3 linked regions of the Drosophila melanogaster genome follow. The protein of the gene in region 1 purifies or fractionates together with the protein of each later gene. This does not show direct contact. Each region holds a gene or a part of one and is shown on either strand. Other genes may lie near its edges. The genes, in order: Rtnl1, Syn2 and CG9010.

The links.
Region 2: the proteins of Rtnl1 (region 1) and Syn2 purify together in Drosophila melanogaster (affinity purification with mass spectrometry, with the first as the bait; 2 studies listed by BioGRID). This does not show direct contact.
Region 3: the proteins of Rtnl1 (region 1) and CG9010 purify together in Drosophila melanogaster (affinity purification with mass spectrometry, with the first as the bait; 2 studies listed by BioGRID). This does not show direct contact.

Annotation. Positions count from the first base shown.
Region 1 is NT_033779.5:5,008,091-5,011,845, forward strand, and holds the start of Rtnl1 (Reticulon-like1), read right to left. Parts: upstream 1,631-3,755; 5' UTR 1,286-1,630; coding exon 91-1,285; intron 1-90. Other genes in the region: CG31917 (uncharacterized protein), read right to left, coding at 1,887-2,342; Tfb5 (transcription factor B5), read right to left, coding at 2,397-2,583, 2,642-2,676; SelT (selenoprotein T), read left to right, coding at 3,100-3,245, 3,322-3,755.
Region 2 is NT_033778.4:16,552,663-16,556,417, forward strand, and holds the start of Syn2 (Syntrophin-like 2), read left to right. Parts: upstream 1-1,924; 5' UTR 1,925-1,955; coding exon 1,956-2,030; intron 2,031-2,096; coding exon 2,097-2,246; intron 2,247-2,305; coding exon 2,306-2,591; intron 2,592-2,656; coding exon 2,657-2,821; intron 2,822-2,942; coding exon 2,943-3,127; intron 3,128-3,182; coding exon 3,183-3,341; intron 3,342-3,406; coding exon 3,407-3,631; intron 3,632-3,690; coding exon 3,691-3,755.
Region 3 is NT_033778.4:16,958,363-16,962,117, reverse strand, and holds CG9010 (uncharacterized protein), read left to right. Parts: upstream 1-1,922; 5' UTR 1,923-2,022; coding exon 2,023-3,054; 3' UTR 3,055-3,175; downstream 3,176-3,755. Other genes in the region: CG6665 (uncharacterized protein), read right to left, coding at 3,434-3,755.

The sequences.
Region 1 (3,755 bases):
ACTCGAATGACGACGGGAACACAACAAATTAATTAGAAACGCAATGATAACTGGTGTTGACTAGTTGCTATTTGCAGTGGCTAGACTCACCCAATCCGTATTTGCAGAAGATCTCCTCGACGGACGCAATCTTTGGCTGCGGCTGGGTCGATTCAACTGGCGCCACTGGCACAACCTTCGGCTTGGCCGGCTCCACCTTGGGTTTGGGTGGCTCTGGTTTCGGCTCGACTACGGGTGCGGCGATGGTGGGTGCCTTCGGCGCCTCCTGGACAGTGGGTTTGAACACCACCTCCTCGTCATCCAGGTCGGTTATCAAAGCGGTTGTCACGGGTACAGCCACTGGAACCGGCTGGGGTTTGGCAACTGGTACTGATACTGGTACTGCCACTGGAGCAGGAGCAACAGCTGGAGCAGCATCGAGAATGGGAGCTGGTGCGGGTGCTGGTGTGGGTGCTGAGCGTGGCTCCTCCTTAAAATCGCTGGCCAGATCTTCCGACGAGATGAACTTCTCGTTGTCCTGATCCTTGAGGGCATCTACAATGGGTTTCTTGGCCGGCGATGGTGTGTACGAGACGGACGGCGATTCAGTGTCGGAATCCTGGTTGGCCTTGGTCAATGGGGCGACAGGAGCTGCTGGGGCAGCAGTGGTTGGCTTGCCCAGGAAGTCATCCTCCTCGTCGTCATAGAAATTGGCCGTGGACGGTGCCGTTGGCTGGAAGGCCTGGAGTGGTGCCGATGGCTGGTCAGTGAAGCTGCCCAGGAGGTCCTCCTCGACAGGAAGCGGAGCTGGGACAGCAGGAGCTGGCGCCACTGGAGCTGGAACGGCCGGAGCATGATCGGGAACAGCTGGAGCTTGTGCTGGAATAACCGGAGCTTGAGCTACCGTCTCTGAGAATGGAGCCAGGGGAGCGGAGAAGCCCCGCTCGGCATTCATAAAGTCGGTGGTCAGTCCACTGATGCCCTGCTTCACCTCCTTGCCAGCGTCGCGCAGAAAGTCCTCGAAATCATCAGTCTTCTGTGCAAACTTGGTGTCCAAATCGAGTTTGGCATCCTTAGCGTCGGCGGCCAGGCGTTGGACAAACTCCTGCGCATCGCCAAAGTCCAACTTCTTTTGCTCGTTGGCGAAGTAGTGCTCCGTGTGGGCATTATCGTCCTGGGCACCACCACTCACATTGCCAGTATCGCCACCAAGTGCAGAGTCTTCGTAGGCACGTTGCGCCTGCTTGAAGATGTCCTCGTTGGTGGCAGCGGCCTCCTTTTTCAGTTCGTCGAAGTTCCGATCCATATTCTACAGTGTTTTGATTTCAAAATATAACACTTGTGATCAATAAGAAATTTTCACAGATGTGTTTGAATATCCTGGCCTTCTGATTGGAACTTCGCACACACACACACGTACGCACGCACACGACACACCCACACACACACGCACAGGCACCGAGCTACAGCTGATTTTGCCGGTTGAAATTAATATGATTTTTTTTAGCCGACTTAAGTGCCTTCTGGTGACTAAAAGGCCGCAATTCGCAGTGTTTTGTGCTCGGGAACGTTGAATTTAATTTGAACCACAGCGACTCTTTTACAGGCGCCGTCGATGCAGACGTTTGAAAAGTTTCAATGGACCTGCGCTAGAGGTGGCACAGCGGTCGATACTATCGATGACGCTCACAGCATAATTGCCTAAAAATGGACAAATACCTTGAACAGCCATGTTTCGAACCAAAGTTTTGATGTTGCCGGCATCTTTAGCCATGACATTAACCCAATGGCTCTGGCAAATTGGCTAAAATTCACGACAGCTAAAATTTGTTGTATGTATTTCCAGAAACTTCGCGCAATTCAGTTATGCCTAATGTTTGATTTATTTGTAAACATAACAACCATGCTCAGGCCGTCCACTTGAGGCAGCGCGTGTCCTGGTGCGTTTGCAGGCATCTAACGCAACAGTATCGCGTTCCGCAGGCGGTGCACGAGTACAACGAGAAGTTGCCGCAAACGGCGCAGAAATGCCGCAGTGGCTTTTGTGGAGCCGGCGCTGCGGCGCTCTCGTAGTTGGGCTGCTTGTCCTTGTCCTCCTCGAGCAGTTGCTGGAAGTTCTTGCGATACTTGACGAGAAAGTATTCGGCGCCCTTGCGCTTGCCTTTCTTCTCCTTGCCGGTCTTCAGGCTGTCCTGGAATTTGGGCAACTTCTTGGACATGACAAGGTCGGCGTGTGGGTCATCGTGGTAGTTGTCCTGCTCCAGAGCCTCCAAGGCTTTGCGGGCACGCCGCTGGCGGGCTGTGGAGTCCAGGACACGCTTCTTTTCAGCGTCCTTGATGCGGTTGGATTCGCGACCCGTCATGGTTGTTTTTAGGTTTTTACTTTTGGCTATTGGATTTTATGGGTTGTGTAGGTTCTAAGCGTCCTTGTCGTGCAGCGGAAAGCTTATCCGATCCATCAAGTCGTCCACTCGCGCCTGCAAAACTTCCACAATGTCCGTGGAGATAAACAAATGGTTCTCGTCCAGATCCTGGATAATGAATTTGCGTCCCAGAGCCAGTTTTTCGTCCAAGTGCAGCAGGAATTGTTTCATAGCAGGATCACTGCGGGGATTGGGTTGAATATAGCGAAACCAACGCATACCAAACGTATACCACTTACCACTCCACCAGCACTCCTTTCATAACATTTACCATGTTGCCAGCATTTGTTTGCCGAAATTAATAAACAATCTCACCAATTCTCAGAGCTGAATGACATATTCACAGTGAAACGTAGGCTAGAGGTGGCAGTCTTTACTATCGATATTTTTTTGACTTTACTTGATAATTTAATCAATAATTTCAGCATGGCAATATAATATTTACAATCAACGAAATATAACACATTGCTTTAAACCAGCACCCGATATTAACTATATTATGTTAGTTTCACCGTCGGAAGTTTCGTACTTTAAGAAATATAGCTATTTTGCCAGCCCTATCAGTGCTACTCACTACGAAAAGTAGACAGAAGTAGCGGGGTATTTGCCAGTCACACGGACAAACACCAAGGCAAAAGTGTGAGGAAATATTGAATTCCAAATTAAATTCCTAATTAAATCAGACCATAAGCACGCAATGGAAAGGCTGACCGGAAGGAATGTGGCACTACTGGTGCTGTGCCTGTGCGCCGGATACGCCCTGGTGTTCGCCGAGGGCGAGAAGGAGATACCGGTTACCAAATTCGGACAGAACATAGCGCCGACGATGACTTTCCTTTACTGGTGCGTTATATGCGGGGCAATTAACATAATTGATAACAATGACCTCTGTGTTTCTCACCATTGATTCGCCAAATAGCTACTCCTGCGGCTATCGCAAGGCGTTCGAGGACTACGTGGGCCTGCTGGGCGAGAAGTATCCGCAAATTCAGGTGAATGGCGGCAACTACGATCCGCCGGGTCTAAACTATTACCTCTCCAAGATGATATTCGCCCTGAAGATCATAATCATTGTGTCCGTGGTCAGTGCGGTCAGTCCGTTCACCTTCCTTGGCCTGAACACGCCCAGTTGGTGGAGCCACATGCAGGCTAACAAGATATACGCCTGCATGATGATCTTCTTCCTGGGCAACATGCTCGAGGCCCAGCTCATCTCGTCCGGCGCTTTCGAGATAACACTAAACGATGTGCCTGTGTGGTCGAAACTGCAGACGGGACGCTTTCCCTCGCCGGAGGTACTCTTTCAAATCATCGACAACCATCTGCAGTTCACCGAAAAGGTGCAGGAGAATC
Region 2 (3,755 bases), on another chromosome or scaffold:
ATTGTTTAGCAAACACACACATAAATTAATAATCAACGTTTTTGGGCCTCGGGCAGCAAAAGTATCGGTTATGCGAGGGTGTGCGTGTGTTTGTTTTACTTCACAGCCAGAGCTGCAAAAAAAAAAAGAAAAGTTCAATCGCTGAAACTTCAGGCAAAACAGCCCGAAACGTTTCGCCTGCTGCTGCTTCTGCTGCTCTTTTCGTGGCTGTGGCACAGCTGATTGTCCAAGGCCTCACGCCGAACATGTTGGCTTGTTTGGTTTGAAGCTAAGGACCTGCACTCCTGGACACCTCCCCACCGAAAAAAAAACCAGAGTACTCTGGGCCTAGCTTCACGGTTTTACGGCTCTGAAGCACGCACCCAAAAGGGCAGCGCAGCGTGCACACGTAATAATAAAGCCATAATCAAAGGTAACCCGGGACAACGGAGCGTATGCGTGTTCCGCCAAGTCGGTGGCCTGACCAGCAGCTAATTGCTACGACACGCGGAATGCCAAGGATTCAGGAATTCATGGTCCAAATATTCGACACTTTTTGCACTCTGCGAAACTCTTGCAGGCAATATAGAACATTCTGGGTTGATAGATCTATTTTTGTATAGATTTTGGAATGTATAATTTACCTTAATTATAATTATTTTATGTTGCTTCAGTAAAATAATTCCGTTTTTATATATTTATTTTTATTATATTTTCAAAAACTCATTGTTGATGACACGTAAGCTTAGGCCTAAACATTTTATTATGATTTTATTCCTTTCATAATTTCATTAAAAATATATAATAATTTTTTTAATTAACAATAATAACAATTGAATTCACTTTGACCATGAATCAGATCGCAGAAAACGTTTAAAGCGAAAGTGTTTCCCCTCGAATTCAGAATTTCTCAATCTCAGATGGCAATTTAGCTGGCACCATATGCACATATTTGGCGCTCAAATCGAACCCTCCCCCCCCCCCCTTCAAGAACTCTCAACCCCCCCTAGGCAAAACACCTATTTATGGAGCACAAGTGGTTATCCAAAATACATATTCCACCCTCCCATTCCTGAGGAGCAGTTGCGGCCACACTTCGGCACTCAGCACCAGGGAAAACCACAAACAACGTCTGCAGATGGGGCACACTTCAATGTGTTTTCACTCATATCTAGTTTTCCGGTAGCATATTTATTTTCCACTTTAATGGAAAACATATGCCGTGGCATCAGTTCGTAGAAAACGCACTTGGCCAAGGTATGCCCATGTATCGTTTCCATCTAGATATGCCTTCTATTACATTTTGCGGCAGCCTGATTACGCTTAATTGTTTCTAATTGCATGTGTAATTTAATTAAGGCAATTGCACAGTTCACCTTGAACTATCGGCTCATCGGTGGGCCAGTGTGCAAACGTAATTCGATATGCGATGATTGCAATTGCGTTGCTTTCGCCTTACTGCTGTCTGCTCAGTGGAAAAATAAAATGGCAATCGATAAAGGCCACGGAGCCGGCTTCCCGATTTGATTGCAGTTGTTTCGCAGTCCATTGCCATGGCCACGATTATGTTTAAAAATAAAAAAAAAAAAACGAAAAGTTCTCAGAAATCGCTTGATTACACTGGGCCAACTTGATTGGCGGCCATCCGATTTGGTAACAAGGGTAGACATCCCGTTATTGCCACAAATCAGGCAACATTTCAACCTTTTCAGACCCTTTGCTCTAAATTATTCATTCCATTCAATCAATCAACGCATTTAATTTAACGCCTCTAGAAATATTGATTGAGCTTTAAGTATAGTCAAGATATCTTGAAGATACATTTTGTTATTATTATAGCAAACTAATCTCTAGAAATCTCTAGAGTTCCTGGATTTTTATTTTATTTTGGTTCATAATTCATTTTTAAATCCTATCACTTTAAGCACGTTTCCCATTTAAGATCATAAATCACACTCAAGATCCCTCTTCTCTGAATGATTTCAGGAATTATGAAGCTCTCTGACACCATGGCCACGCCTATAGAAGAAAAACTCGACCAAAACCTGAAGGTAACGCAAAGATTCTTCATATTTATAAATGTATATCTATTAAATATTAAATTATTAATATTTTAGGTGCGAACTGGAATGGTGCACGTGAGCGATGGCAAGAGCAGACCAGAACCGCTTCGACTTAATCTTACCATGGAGTTGCTTTCGCTGCAGAAGCTGGAAGTGGTAACACCAAGTAGTTGTCACCCCAATGGACCACCCATGGAATCAAAGGTATATATATATTTTCCCCTATAACATTTAACTTATTTATGAAATAATTCATCTTTCAGGAACGTATGGTTCAAATTACGCGCCAAAAACAAGGCGGCCTAGGACTGAGCATAAAAGGTGGCGCCGAGCATAAACTACCCATTTTGATATCGCGTATCTATAAGGATCAGGCTGCGGACATAACGGGCCAACTATTTGTTGGCGATGCCATCATCAAGGTCAACGGAGAATACATCACGGCATGTCCTCACGATGATGCCGTCAATATATTGAGAAACGCTGGCGATATTGTTGTGCTCACTGTTAAGCATTATCGCGCAGCCACGCCTTTCCTTCAGAAACAACGTGAGTAGCAGTGGGCTAGCATAGCACGATAAATAAGGATTGAATAACCCTCCTCAACATCCCAGTGACCAAGGACACACCCGACTCGGACAACGATGTCACATGTGCCGAACTGAAGGCTGACGAGGGCTACAAGTCATCCGTCAATAGTGGAACCATCAGTCGCAGTTGTAGTCGCCCCATGTCAATTTGCTCGGAGCCCGAGAAGCGCTGGACCGACGTGGTTGCCGGTGAGCCTTATTTATAAATAGGTTAACAAATTGTTCATTGATTATGTCCTAAGATAACAGAAATGTATCTCAAATCTTACGTACAGAAATGCTAATCAATTCATATATTTACACCTTGCAGTACCTCTAATGATGGCATATGTGACGAGGTACATCTATGGCACCGACAAGCTGCGACAAAATGCCTTCGAAGTTCGCGGTCTGAATGGAATTTCCACAGGTGTCATACACTGTGACGAACTGGCCATACTTAGTCAGTGGCTGAAATTGATAACAGACAATGTTGTGGGCCTGACGCATTTACAGGTAGGAGAGTTAAAGGCATATATATTCATAATTTAATCAATTGTGTATCCAATAGATGAAGCTATATAATAGAAACTTTGCTGTGGGCGAGCGCATTGAGTACATGGGCTGGGTGAATGAAGGTGTCATTAACAACAATATATCGTGGCAGAGCTACAAGCCCAGGTTTCTACTGCTCAAAGGCACTGAAGTGATGCTCTTTGAAACGCCACCAGTGAGTAGCAATCAATTGCGATAAGTTTCGATTATCTTAACTAATTTTTTCTATTAAATTATTAGCTAAATGTGGCTGGCATTAGTAAGGCTTTGGTGGTCTACAAGGTCTACCAGACCATGTTCCGCATTGTCAAGGAATCGGAGACCGTGGATAGTCGTCAGCATTGTTTCCTGCTGCAAAGTTCGGGTCATGAACCGCGCTATTTGAGCGTGGAAACCCGTCAGGAGCTTTTGAGAATCGAAAACAGCTGGAATGCGGCCATTGTGACAAGTGTCATCAAACTGGGCGTAGGTTTACACTTATATCGCATACCTTCACTCTCTAATTATATGTTAATTTTCCTCAGCGTAAGACCTTTGCCGTGTCGCATCATGGAAAAAGTGGTGGACTCACGCTGGACTGGCAAGCTGG
Region 3 (3,755 bases), on another chromosome or scaffold:
TTCTGCTTTAATGCCAGCCACGGTATTAACTACATTTATCCCGCTTGTAGACCAACTTTGGTGGAGCTCCTGTTCCGGCCAACAAGTTAAAGAGCCCCTGGAGGAGCATTTACCATTGATCTTTTATGTGCGCCAGCACACGAAGAGAAATGATAACCGGAGTGTTATTATTTATTAAGGTAAAGATTTAATTCCCTAGTCCAGCGGCTATAATTCAATAAAATTATATTTATCAACCACAGGAGCAGTGTTGTTTGCCAAATAATTTTAAAAGATAAAGTACACCATTATTTTTTTTTACCGTGATTGAAAGTAGTTAATATAAAAAGAGTATCATTTCTCTTAATGTTGGGCCTTGAAAAACTGTGATTAAGATTAAGAATGTTGTAGCAAACACGAAATAGTAGATAGTACTTAAAGTTGAAGTCTTTAATATGGCCAAAGGATACTCGTACCCATTACGAAGTTTAGGTATCCGTTAGCAGCAATAACATGTCACCCCTCAATATAATTTATGGTTTATCTTCTTTGGTGTTTTAATTACACCTAACTCTACCATTATGGATTCGTGTTTAAATTTATTCCATATATTCAATTTTTCAACTCTTGGTTGAACTCTGCTTAAGCCGCTCTTAAAATGGGATTTGCATCCTTTGCTTATGTGGCCCATTTCTCAGCGGGCAAGTTTCAAATTTGAAAGTTTTTCGCATAAATTTCAAGTAGCACTCGCCGGACAAGCAAACTGGAATGAAAGCGGAGACTCCAAAGCAAACAAGCTGGCTCACAACAAAGTTGCAAGGGCTCCGGGCCCCCAACTTAGAATCCCCCACTGCTCGACCGGAGTACATAAAATAAACTTCAATTTGATGGGATTTGATGTGGGGCATTTAACATTTACGACACCTTCCAATCTCCAGTTCAAACATAAATGATACATTGAATCGGGGCTGGCGCTATCCGGGGCTTGCAACTGCGGGTCCTGCGATTACTGCAACAATTTCGTAATCAGCGGCGGCCCCAAAATGGAAAACCCACCACACAGGACCCGGAGAGCCCAGTTTTCCGTGCCAAATCGAGAGAGAGAACAAGAGATACAAGAGGGTCCTTGCGCTCAGTTGACTTTTTTCTGCGGGGGCGTCCCAATGTTGCCAGCAACATGTTGCCAGCAACATGCCAGCCGTCCTGCTGTTGCTTCAGCATCATAAATATTCAACAAAGTTAAGTTGTCATAGCTAGTTGAGGACCGATTTCCCACACTCCACACCCCCCGGAAATGCCGACAGCAGAGTGGGGTCTCTGCTAAAAGCCGAACGAATAAAACTTCAATTCAATATATTTCCAGCCAAGTCATGGGCCAAGGGGCAGATGGGCATGGAAATTTCTACGGCTGATGGCCGTCATCTGGTATGCCCGAAAAGTTAGTTACATTGGTACTTTCAAAGGGACTTTCCTTTTCTTTTTATCGACCACAGGAAGTAAAACAAGCCAGTTAAAATTAAAGTTGGACTTTTCGACGTATTGAACATTGTACATGCATCATAAAAACCAACATACATATGTAGGATCGATTTCTTATGCTTTTATCATGTTCATTTCAAATTACTTTCTTACAGTGTACCAAAGGGTGGGGTCCCGAAGGAGCGAGGCATTCCACACAAAGGTGAGTAATGACCCTTGAAGCTGGATTTTCTATGGACGTGAATGTGTGTGGGCAGCAATTTGGCAGCCACACCCACTTCCTTGGGACTCCAGACAATTGGGATTGGGCGTTCCCGAAGGTTATTGTAATTTTGTTTCGTGAGAAGCTTTGGCAGGTGGTCGATTTCGATTGATTTATACCCGGCTGTGTAATTATGTATGTATGTAGGCTATCCATCTGGGATTCATAAACTGGAAAGATCTAGGGTAGCCGGTAGCCAGAAATCATTTTCATATCTATCTTAGCCTTCCACATAGTCGAACTATTATATAATACGTATAAAAAACCAACAAAATTTTCAACACTGCAAGTCGAATTCCATTATGTCCGGTATTGGCATCAATGGCTTTGGCCGAATCGGTCGCATGTTTGCCCGCCAGGCTCTAGTTCGCAAAGATGTCAAGATCGTGGCAATCAACGATCCCTCACTGGATCCCAAGTATCTGGCCTACATGCTGCGATACGACTCCACTCATGGACAGTTCAATCAGAAGATCTCTGTCGACGGGAACAATCTTGTTGTTAATGGCAAGAAGATCCAGCTGCTTAAGGAGTCGGACGTCAAGAAGATTAAATGGTGCGACCTGGGCGTGCATACGGTGGTGGAGTGCTCCGGTAGGTTTACCACCCTGAAAGCCTGTCAAGGTCACTTGGATAGTGGGGCCAAAAAGGTGGTCATATCGGCACCATCTGCCGATGCTCCGATGTTTGTGTGCGGAGTGAATCTTGAGGCATACAAGCCGGGCACAGCAATCATCTCGAATGCCTCATGCACAACCAATTGCCTGGCGCCGCTGGCCAAGGTGGTGCACGATAACTTTGAAATATGTGAGGGCCTTATGACCACCGTTCATGCGGCTACAGCTACCCAAAAGATCATCGACGGACCCAGCAGCAAACTCTGGCGGGATGGACGCAGTGGCATGACCAACATCATACCCGCATCCACGGGAGCCGCTAAAGCCGTCGGCAAGGTGATTCCGGATCTAAACGGGAAGCTAACGGGTATGGCTTTCCGTGTACCAGTTCCCAATGTCTCGGTGGTGGACCTCACCTGTAGGCTTTCTAAGCCCGCCAAAATGGACGATATCAAGAAGTGCATAAAGGCTGCATCCAAATGCGAAATGAAGGGAATCCTGGGGTATGTGGAGGAGGAGGTGGTGTCCACCGATTTTAACGGCTCACGATTTGCATCCGTCTTTGATGCCAAGGCCTGTATTGCCCTAAACGATAACTTCGTCAAGTTGATCAGTTGGTACGATAACGAGACCGGATATTCCTGCCGTCTCCTTGACCTAGTTCTCTATGCCCAGTTGGTCGACCAATGCGATGCGAAGGAAAAGGGTGCTTGCTAGATGGAAGATCCATGTAAGAAAAAAGGATGATCCCTGCAAGAAATAGGAAGATCCTTGCAAGAACAAGAAATAGGAAACTCTTAGAAAAGAATTAAAAATTTTTTTAACCAAGTCTAGATTTATTTAAATTAGATTTATATTTAGAAATCTTTATTTACTTAAAAATTAATGTAATGTAATCCATTTTACCATAGTTTTAGGCGCAGATTTCATATTTTGCAATTCTTATGGGCTAAACTATAGATAGCATAGGATGCAATCGGCTTTTATTCGCCCTTTTTCCAACAAATAAATAAAGAACAAAAAAATGTATACCCATATTTTCCTGGCAGACATAAAAGCCAATAAGAAAAAGTGACTGAATTCTTTGGAAATTGTCTTAGACATTGCTGGAGTTCCGCTGAAACTGCATTGATGATATACTCTTAATCTCATTGTCCTCCATGACACCTCCATCACTGCTCTGATGGTGGTCCGCCTCTACGATGATGTCATCCAGTGTGGGTGTCTTAATTCTATTGCGTATGATGAGATCTCTGTCGGAGGGTGCTTGAAGATGAAGAGGATTTGTGGCTAGCTCGGCGGGACCATCGCCACCGCCACCACCGCCTCCCTGCAGACCCAGAGTCAGATTAACCTTGGCGTGCTGTCCAGTCTTAAGTTCACTGCTGGGCTGCACATTTTCCAATGTCGTGGGCGGA